Linked DNA regions of Caenorhabditis elegans. The protein of the gene in region 2 interacts with the protein of the main gene of each other region in a pairwise test. Each region holds a gene or a part of one and is shown on either strand. Other genes may lie near its edges.

Region 1 (5,652 bases), on a different chromosome or scaffold from region 2:
CTTGCGTTTTCAACTCGATTTAGGTATTTTAAAGTCGATGAACGGCGAAATTATCTCTTCGTCCATCGACTTTAAAGTACTTAAATCAAGTTGAAAAAGCAAGATAATTACATTTTATACTCAAAATTTGACGGTAATTTCAAAAAAAAAATTAGTTTCCAGCCGCTGACAAGTCAAATTTCAAATTTTAACTACATTTAGTCCATTTTTTGAGCCGCCATAACTTTTTTTGAGAAGTTTTCAAGAAGTTTCATTATGAAATTCGGTGTTTTGAGACAATTTCAAGTCTAATAAAACAATAAAAATTTTGAATACACCACCTTTAATTCTTGAATTTTGCACAAAAAAAGCAGCGTCGCACAGAAATAGAGGCGGAGCGCGCTCTAATGATTAATCAGCTTTGAGGAGAGCGTGATTGAGCTCATTTTGAGTCCGAACCGTTAGTCCTCCTTTAAAGAGAGAGAGAGTACTGTAGTTTTCGCTACGAGATATTTTGCGCGTCAAATATGCTGCGCAATACGCATTCTCAGAATTTTGTGATCCCGAAATATTCTGTGTTCTATCAGAAAACTACCTCTGAATCTCTTTTCTCTTCTCCTCACGACGCTTCTCCTCTTCGGCCCGCTTTTCACGATCACGTTCTCGTTGACGCTCCTTCTCACGTTCTTTTTCTTTTTGCCTGGAATTTTTGAAATTTTCAATTTTTAATTATTTCTTATTCCTTCGCTCGGCACTTACAGTTCTTTCTCATGCTCTTCCTTCTCTTTTCTTCGTTTCTCTTCATGCTCCTTTGCTGCTGCTGTTGCTTCCAGCTCTTTTCTCTTATCCTCCTCCTTTTTACTAGTCTCTCCTTGCTTGTTCGAAGCGTTTTGTAGGCGATCGAACAGATCAAAAAGCCAGTCGACGAATTTCGCAGTGCTTTTTCCGATAAATAAGTTGAGATCGTCCTTCATCTGCACTTTTTCCTTCTTATTCGCAATCATTACCATAATATAATCGGGTAATTCATCGTCCACGTAGACGCCGAGCTCTTCAAGTTTGGCTCGAATCGCGGCCTGAATTAAAAAATTATTAATTTTTGCGATTTTTGAAATTTATTAACTTATTTAACGTTACCTTTAGTTTTTTCGACACTTCTGAGGTTCCTGTCCCTGTTTGAGTATTCATTTCGAACAGATTATATCTGAAAACCAAAAAAAAATCAATAAGCTAAATATCACAATTTTTGTTCCAATTTTTAAGATAATAATGTCATAGTAAGCTTTAAAAACTGATTTCAAAGTTATATTGGCTCAAGAAACTTCCGGAAGTTCACTAAAAATCACTAAAACCACAAATAATCTGGTTTTTCGAAAATATTCAAATAACGGGATAAAAACCGACACTTTGAATAAATCAGCGGCAATTTTTGTGTGAAAATTGACAGAAAATCAATAATTTAAAATAATTCAATAAATTAATTAGAAAAATTCAGGGAAAACGAATCGGAATTATACGAAAATCACGTGTATCCCTTTCTCTCTCACAATGCCAGCAGCGACAATTATTTGTCGTAAGATTCGGTGTAAAGTATGCACACACTGTGACGACAAAATGCAGATTTTTGCATAAAAGGTTTTTGTGTTTTTTAATCGATTTGCAGAGGATTTCTCAGGTTTTCTGTGTTAAAATTGAAGATTTTAAGGGTTTTTTGTCGAAAAATGCCTATTTTGTTCAATTAATCATTATAAATAACTAGAAATTAAGAAAATCGCTGGAATTTATGATTTTTCTTTATTTTTACGGACGCTTCATTTTTTTTTAAGTTTTAATCGATTTTCAGAGGATTTCAGGGTTTTTTGCCGGAAAAATGTGTATTTGGTTTATTTAATCACCAAAAATAACTGAAAATAGATTGAAATTTATGATTTCTTGTTTTTATCGATTTTCAGAGAGTTTCTTAGGTTTTCGAGCTTAAAATTTCAGATTTTCGGATTTTTTTTGCCGAAAAAATGCATATTTTGTTCATTTAATCACCAAAAACAACTAGAAATTGAGAGAATTTAATGAAATTTAATATTTAGATTTTTTTTCATTTTCAATCGATTTTTGAAGCACTTTCACAGTTTTACCAGCAATTTCCATCCTTGAAATAATTTTTTTCCAAATATTTCTAGACTGATTTCGTGGAAAACTATCGATTTTCTGTGGCTGCGTGCATTTCTGTCTGCGTCTCCCCTCGTTTTTCCTCCTCAAATCCGTTCTTGTCCACGAATTTCCGGTTTTTTTTTCCAGCTAGAGACATGCGACATTCGTCGTACGAACATGTTCCAAATCGGATAATTCCTCCGCATATTCCAATGTGAGCCGTTTTTTTTTCAAATTTTTTCCAACTTCTCGGTGTCGCAGCGGTTAGAACTTAATTATTATTTTTTTTATCACTTTTAAATAAATATTGTGGTCTTTGATTGGGCGTTTATTCATTGATTAGTACATTTATGGTCAGTGGGGCACAAATAAAAGTTAAATTTTGTGCCCCACTGACCATAAATGTACTTAAATCAACGAATAAACGCCTAATCAAAGACCACAATATTTATTAAAAAGTGATAAAAAAATAATAATTAAGTTCTAACCGCTGCAACACCGAGAAGTTGGAAAAAATTTGAGATTTTAGCTAAAAATTGGCCATTTTTTCCAAAATTTTCGAGCGGTCATAACTTTTTTTTTGAAATATTTTCAGAACGTCTCATTACGAAATTCGGTAGTTTTGGACCATTTTGGGTCTAAAAAGCAAAGTCTCAAATTTCGGTACCTCACCTCTGAGGATGAAAAAATCCGGATTTTCCGGGAAAAAAAAATAAAACTCATTTTTTTATATTTTTTCAGTGATGCTAGACGTGGCGATTTCGATAGACGTCCTGGCCCGCCGGTTCCTTCTATGAGAGCTGCAATTCTTGGAGGAAGTGATCCGTATCACGGATTTCAGCCGGTGGTGGACACCTATAATGGACCCGTAGTGGATAATTCGAGAAGACGTGGTTTCGATAAGGGGCCGTTTGGAGAGGATTTGACGACGATGGGAAGAAATGAAGGGAGACAGCCGTTGCTCAGACATGTAAGGAGCGCGATTTTGAGTCGAAAAGTTCAAAAAATCCAACTTAAAAACTCAATTTTCGCTGAAATTCCCTCCAAAACTCCCCGACCAATCAGCGATTCGCTCCGCCCATCTTTGAACCAATCAGATGGAGTGGGCGGAGTTCGAAGTCGGGGAATCCTCATTTTGAGAATTGACTTCAAAACGAGAATTCCCCGACCAATCAACGACTTCGAACTCCGCCCACTCAATCTGATTGGTTGAAGGATGGGCGGAGCGAATCGCTGATTGGTTGCGATGTGGTTTTTCTGGTTTTTAGACTTTTTTTTCGGATTTTGATGAAAATTCACGAATTAAATAGTTTCAGCCGAGACTAGACTTTGAGCACATTGGCGGAGAAATGGAAATCGCGAGAAGTCGGTCTGCATCTCCAGAAATTCAAGTTATCAGTGGTACGTTTTTAGACTGGACCCAAAATGGCCCGAAACTGCCGAAAATTTCTCAAAAAAGTGATGGCGATTCAAAAATTCGGAAAAGTAATAATAATTGTTTATTTGCCACAAGAAATAGCTACACCGGAAGACAAAGAAAAAAAGTAAAATAAAAAAGATGTGTGGACAGATAAATAAAATGACCAATTGGACCAGCTATAGCCCGGGAGGTCAAGTTGGGGGGAAGAGGGTGTCAAATGGGATAGAGCCTAGGCGCGACGCAAATGCATTTGGAGTTAACAGTTTAGGGAAACGTTTTGCTATTCGGTTCCACAACGACAAGTTAACATGTAGAAAACATTTAGACGGGACGCCACAGACAACAAGTAGATAGGGGTGACGAGTAGAGCGTGAAGCTCGAACGAACGATGATAAGGACGGGAAGTGATACTCGCTTGAAATAATTTTATGGAAGGTTCGGAGGATTTGAAGAACCCGTCTATGGTGGGTAGACAATAAATTAAATTGGGAAAGCCTGCTACTGTATGACGCGTACGATAAATTACACCTTTGAAAGACACACTTTGAGAAGCAATGGACGGACAAGACGATAATAAAGCCCGGTGGCCGTTTACCTATGCGTTAGCAACGGGAGCAGCCGAATCAACAGAGATAGGAAGTGGACGCGGTGACGAGAGAGTCACAATCTTAAGGTCGCGCACATAATAACGAATCTCGCCAGCTTGGGTATTTCTGTTATAAGCGTCAGCTCTCAACTCTCTCAGGATAGATAACATCGTTGGTCATATCGCGTCTGCAGCGGATGGGTCTTGGAAGGTTAGTGGGGCGATCAGGCAACGAACGGAGAGTTTTGGAGAAAGAGAAAATGAACGAATTGCGGTCGGCTTCAGAAGAGAAACGAATTTTTGTTGGGCGGGATAAGACTGGTTTGCGAGTTTTGACGCGGAAAGTTTGAATATGTACAGGGAGGGAGGGATTAGCGGCAATTAAATTATCGAGAAAAACCTTATCCTTGGCGGATTGTGAATCCGAGCCATCATCCGGTAGATTTTCAATCACGGCGAAATGAGTCTTCTTCTCAAACAGGGAAATGCTGGCTGCTGCTTCACGTCTTTCTGCAATGATCTCTGCTTTCTTCTCGGCTGATTGTCCCTTGAGAACATCGGCGAACAGGCGTGGAGCGGGCAAATTGGAGGTAACACGGGCAGAGCATTCGTTCGTGAGCTTGGCAACAACTACCTTGAGCTGCTCGACGGTTTGGAAGAGTTCCGATTGTTTGCTCTCCAGGGCACGACATCTGCTTTCAGCGGCGGTACGGAAGGTTCTCAAGCTCGAATTTTCCTTTTCCAATTCTTCAACACGGGTAGTGAGCAATTCAAGAGCGGTCGGGCGACCGCGCTTCCGGGTTTGCTGTTGTTTCTCCGGCGGAGAACTCGTACCGTGAGCGTCCTCCGGGAGATAAGGACCAGAGAAAGCGAAGAAATCCGTCTTCACCATAGGCACTGGGGCGGAATGAGGAGGAGGTGGTTCCGACATGACCAATGACCTGCAGCAGTTGACCGGCGTACCTCAAACTCAAACTTGGGTAATTAAACCAAATATTTTTTGCAGATGCTAAAACAATTTCCAAGTCAAAAAATTATGTATTCAGTCGGCAAGCAGCGGTGAAAGTGGTCAATGTAAAATGATGGATTACGGGAATACAAAACCTAAACTTTTTCTGAAACATTATACATATGCTGTTTAGATGCTGAAACTACCTGATTTTCATAACGAGACCGCTGAAAAAGTTTTGAGGTTTCCACAATTCAACTTTTTTGGTGAAAAAGTCGAGATTTTCGCACAAAAAGTTGAATTTTGAAAACCTCAAAACTTTTTCAGCGGTCTCGTTATGAAAATCAGGTAATTTCAGCATCTAAGCATCATATGTATCATGTTTCAGAAAAAGTTTAGGTTTTGTATTCCCGTAATCCATCATTTTACATTGACCACTTTCACCGCTGCTTGCCCACTGAATACATTTTTTTTATTGACTTGGAAATCGTTTTGGCATCTGCAAAAAATATTTGGTTATCAGTTTTAATAAGAAAAAACGGGAAAAAGCTGTGAAAGACGAAAGAAAAC
Region 2 (4,322 bases):
TCCGTACGTTTTTATTTTTCATAACTTAATACATAGACTTTTTCCTGAAAACATCACAAAAAATAATTTCAAAAACCCAACAACAAAAACCTGTGTATAGTTTTGTCTTCGATAGAAATTTATCAATCTTCAGAATCTTGCTGATGTCGCGACCCGAAAAAGGCGAAGTGACCAAACAACCACCACTAGTGAATGCGGCAAGTTTGGTGGGCTCCAACTATGCAACAGCGGCGAAGGTAACAACTATACAATCAAATTTGTTTGTCAAACAAGGCGTTGAATATTCAGGCGGCTAACGAGTATCGCAACAAGGCCAAAGGAAAGAACAATGATTTGATGAGCTTAAGAGGGAAGCCAAGCTCACAAGCTGTTTTGAATAACACATTCGATATGAGGATGAGGAATAATGATAGTACGGTGGAGAATGTTAGTAGACAGTGGTTTCTTAAAAACTACAAGTATTGATTTTTCAGAGACTGAAGCCGTATTTATGTGCTCAAAATAATAACGCGCCAACGGTGGCGTTTAGGAAAACCAAACGACAAAAAAGCAAATCGGTTGATGATGTGGTTTTTATGAACTTACTGAATCAAGTGAGGTTCATTGCAGAGCACTTCCGACATAATGAACTGGAAGGGGAGGTGAGAATTGCGCTGTACTTAAACTCTGTTTTGTAACAAAACATACCATGTGTTCAAAAATCAATTAGAAAACATTTAAAAGTTATGAGTGATAGAAACAATGAAATACAAATTTCAGGTCAAGCATATTTGCTATATGTCCAGGTTTAAGGAGAAATAACGAAGTAACGTTTTTCTAAAAGCGATAAAAGCACACGACAGCCGTTCAAATTTAAATACAAATTTTCAAAACTTTTTTTTGCTGTAGACTTTAGTTATTTGTTAGTTTGATCGTAAAATACTAAAACATCTATTTCCAAGGTTCGCACTTTCTGTTTCCGGAAAATGCGGACCTGTGGCGTCATGGAAACATTACTGCGAATCAAAATTAGATAAGAATTTTTATTGCAGATTTCGGATGATTGGACATTTGTCGCAATGGTCTTGGATCGGCTATTCCTTATCATTTTCTCAGTGCTCAATGTAGGAACAGTCTTTATAATTTTGGAGTCACCGTCTCTATACGACTATTCTAAACCGATGAACATCACTGTGCCCAACAAGCCGTTAGGACAAGCTAATTTTTACAGTTCATGGAACTTGAAGTGATCAAAACTTATTGAATATGTTTTACCAACTGATAATACGGTTTTTGTTTTACAATTATAAATTTAGCTTAACCTTTTTTCCAAATAACAATACATATACATTTTATTAAACAGAATTATACAGAATGGAAGAGAAATGAATTATTTTTTCATATTATTTTAGAAAAAAACAAGAAACAAGTTAGAAAAACAACGATGATACGGATGTTTTAAACAAAAGTATTTCTAGGAGGGTCTGCTTCAATAAAATCAAAGTGCTAAAAGTACCCCATCTAAAAATATATTTCTTGCCGCTTCGATAGATCTAGTTGGCCAAACAGGAAATTTGAGCAAAATTTAGTTTTTTTTTTCTAATTTCAACAACATCATCCTCATCAACTAAAGAAAAAAGAACAATATTAGATGTCTCAAATCAAACAAAAAAAGTGACTTGGGCAATACATACAATGAATCCAGAAAGTAGCAATAGGGCAAGGAAAAAACGGTGCGTCAAGGAAGAATAGTGATGGGAGGGAAGAATGGAGACTCGATGGTTGTAGTGAACATGCCAGGAAAACCGGACTGTGCAGAAGGCGTTGGGGCGAGGAAAAAGAGGGAGAGAAAAGCAATGCAAAAAACAAAGGATATGGGTCGGAGAAAAAACTAAATAATAATAGTACAAATCGCAGTAGATACGACCTCGGAGACAAGTATAAAAGCGGCGGGTGCCGGCGTCCAAGGCATCCAGAACTACAATGTTCACTACTTCCCAACTCATCTGCTCTTCTTTGCTTATTGCATCGCTCATGGCGAGCCCCATCAGCCATTCTAGGTGAGCACTTTTTTTTTCAATTTTCAATTTTATTCTTAGAAAAAAACAATCCGTGTATCAAAAAAAAATATTCCAGCCATGAAAATGCGTCCGGCAAATACGGATATGGGGATGAGTCCCAACATGGAAAGAACTTCCACCAGAAGGCAGAACATTCCGGGCATGAAGCGAAGGAAAAGGGCTACTCTCAAGATGGAAAAGCCGCTGACCACGACGCGCTTCACAAGGACGCTGCCGAGCACAAGCAAAACAAAGAGGCTCACCAATCTGGATCCGGTAACAAGTACGTCGATGATGCCTCGAACTACAACAAGGATGTGAAGACCAAGACTTTCGGATTCTTCGACTACCGTTACGTTCAACCACAATACCACATGGAGCAGTACCATACCGATGAGAAGCACGCCAACAAGTATGCCGGAGATGAGCACAACGCCGGGCAACAGCACAAGGACAACGGAGGATACCACGCCGACGGACACCAAGGATACGGTAAGACTATATCTTTCACAAACACTTGAGCATGGTTTTGTATTCAGACAAGGCACAAGAAAAGCACGGAGCTTCCCACACCAACTACGGAAACGAGGACGCCGGACACAAATCCAAGTACGACGACAACGAGGGCAAATACGGAGACCACACCGATGGATACTACAACAAGGGATACGACAACTACGGACAAGGACACGACTCCGAAAGCTACCAGCCATCTTACTACCAACCGAAGCCAAAGTACTACGGAGGACACCAATCCCACTACCAACCATCCGCCAGACACTCAAGCCCATACCAAGGTGACCAATACTACGGATACGAGGCCCCACACTACTGAGCACCAGCCTGGAGCAGTTTTTGAACTTTTCTAATTTCGTTTTCTTTTAAGATTTTGATATGATTGCACACTGTGCTCTATCACCGTCTTGAAAATTTTTCAATTTCTTGTCTTTTCATCTTTTCGGGAATAAAATTGTAGTGGAAATCAAAAAAAACGGTTTTCTGAATTGCATTATAAAACATGAGAATTAAAACACAAAGTTCTCAAAAAAAAAATGTTAAAACCAGTTTCAATAATAATGAGTGTACCGAAATAATTAGAAAAAGTAGTTAAACGTATGTGGTAAAAAGAACAAATGTTCGAATAAAAACGCGAACAAATTTTATCAGCTATCTTTTTTAAGTTTGATTGAAACAATTTTCAGTTTTCATAAACTTACAATTTCTTTTTTTTACAGTGGCTTCTGTAATTATTTTTAAAATTTGATCTGCTCAGAGCATTTCTATTAACCCCTGTAGACCTGATGAGCACCAACATGGCCTAATATAAATTTCTTGGCTCCCACGTGACTAAACACTGGTGTTATAATAAATTAAAACATATCATTATGATACGGTTGTCTGAAATAACGTGGGAGGCGGGATTCCGTGGTTGACCTAGTTGCCTGAATTGTTAAGTACAAAAGTAAAACTAGTACCTCACAAGGTACGGTGTGGCAAAATCTGGAATTATTCTTTTAAAAAATTCCCCTTTGTCGTAAAGTTTTATATTTTTCGAAATTTAAACCAAATACTTCAAACATTCTAAAACATTTTTAGACATCTAGAAAACAAAAGACCAGCTATACATTTTTTCTAAGTTAAACAACAGATGAAATATATACAAATGACATTTTTATAATTATCAATTTTATTCAAATAAATGGTCTTACTTTCTCCATAACTCAATTTCCAGAAATGTTCCTGTTCCAGAAACATTAACATAGACTTCAATTATTTTCCCCCAAATATTTCATTGTAGGGGCCTTCCAGAATAAAAAGGAACTAAAGCCATCTGCTAAATTTTGTCAAATTTTTCTCACATTTCATAAAGTTCGAAAGTAAACATTAGTTTATCCAAGCAGTTCTGCAAATAACTTTTCAATCAGAGAAACTGTCAAAAGTTATGGAGTTTAATAAGAAGCTCTCAATTTTTGCTCTTTTGGTAGGACTATATAAAAGACTGACGTTTCTGAAAAGTTTCCGACCTCAATACATTTAATAAACACGAATCAGAGAATCTTCGAATTCTATTAAACCAAATAGTTCGTTTTGCAATTTAGTAAAATTTGATGTTCAATTATGTAGTTTGCTTCTCCCAACTATTTTAATAACCAATTAATTGATTTCAACATATCAAATCAAGCCAAGTCTAAGTTGAAACAATTTTTTAAAACATTTATTATGTACGGGCTGGGTGGCTTAAACATATAATTTCTACATTTGGAATACTCTTATCAAATCCCT

Evidence for each region. Proteins that work in one complex are often made in the same cells at the same time.
Region 1: the proteins of R01E6.5 (region 2) and Y61A9LA.3 interact in a two-hybrid assay, tested with the Caenorhabditis elegans proteins (one large-scale study listed by BioGRID).

What each region holds. Positions count from the first base shown.
Region 1 is NC_003283.11:4,568,861-4,574,512, forward strand, and holds the start of Y61A9LA.3 (C2H2-type domain-containing protein), read left to right. Parts: upstream 1-2,274; 5' UTR 2,275-2,282; coding exon 2,283-2,341; intron 2,342-2,868; coding exon 2,869-3,097; intron 3,098-3,437; coding exon 3,438-3,528; intron 3,529-4,272; coding exon of another isoform or gene 4,273-5,064; intron 5,065-5,652. Other genes in the region: sut-2 (Zinc finger CCCH domain-containing protein 14), read right to left, coding at 575-679, 739-1,055, 1,117-1,167; hpo-39 (uncharacterized protein), read right to left, coding at 4,273-5,064.
Region 2 is NC_003284.9:13,535,084-13,539,405, forward strand, and holds R01E6.5 (Histidine-rich glycoprotein-like), read left to right. Parts: upstream 1-1,975; 5' UTR 1,976-2,013; coding exon 2,014-2,039; intron 2,040-2,115; coding exon 2,116-2,531; intron 2,532-2,578; coding exon 2,579-2,874; 3' UTR 2,875-3,026; downstream 3,027-4,322. Other genes in the region: acr-12 (AcetylCholine Receptor), read left to right, coding at 134-236, 289-426, 474-641, 1,032-1,229.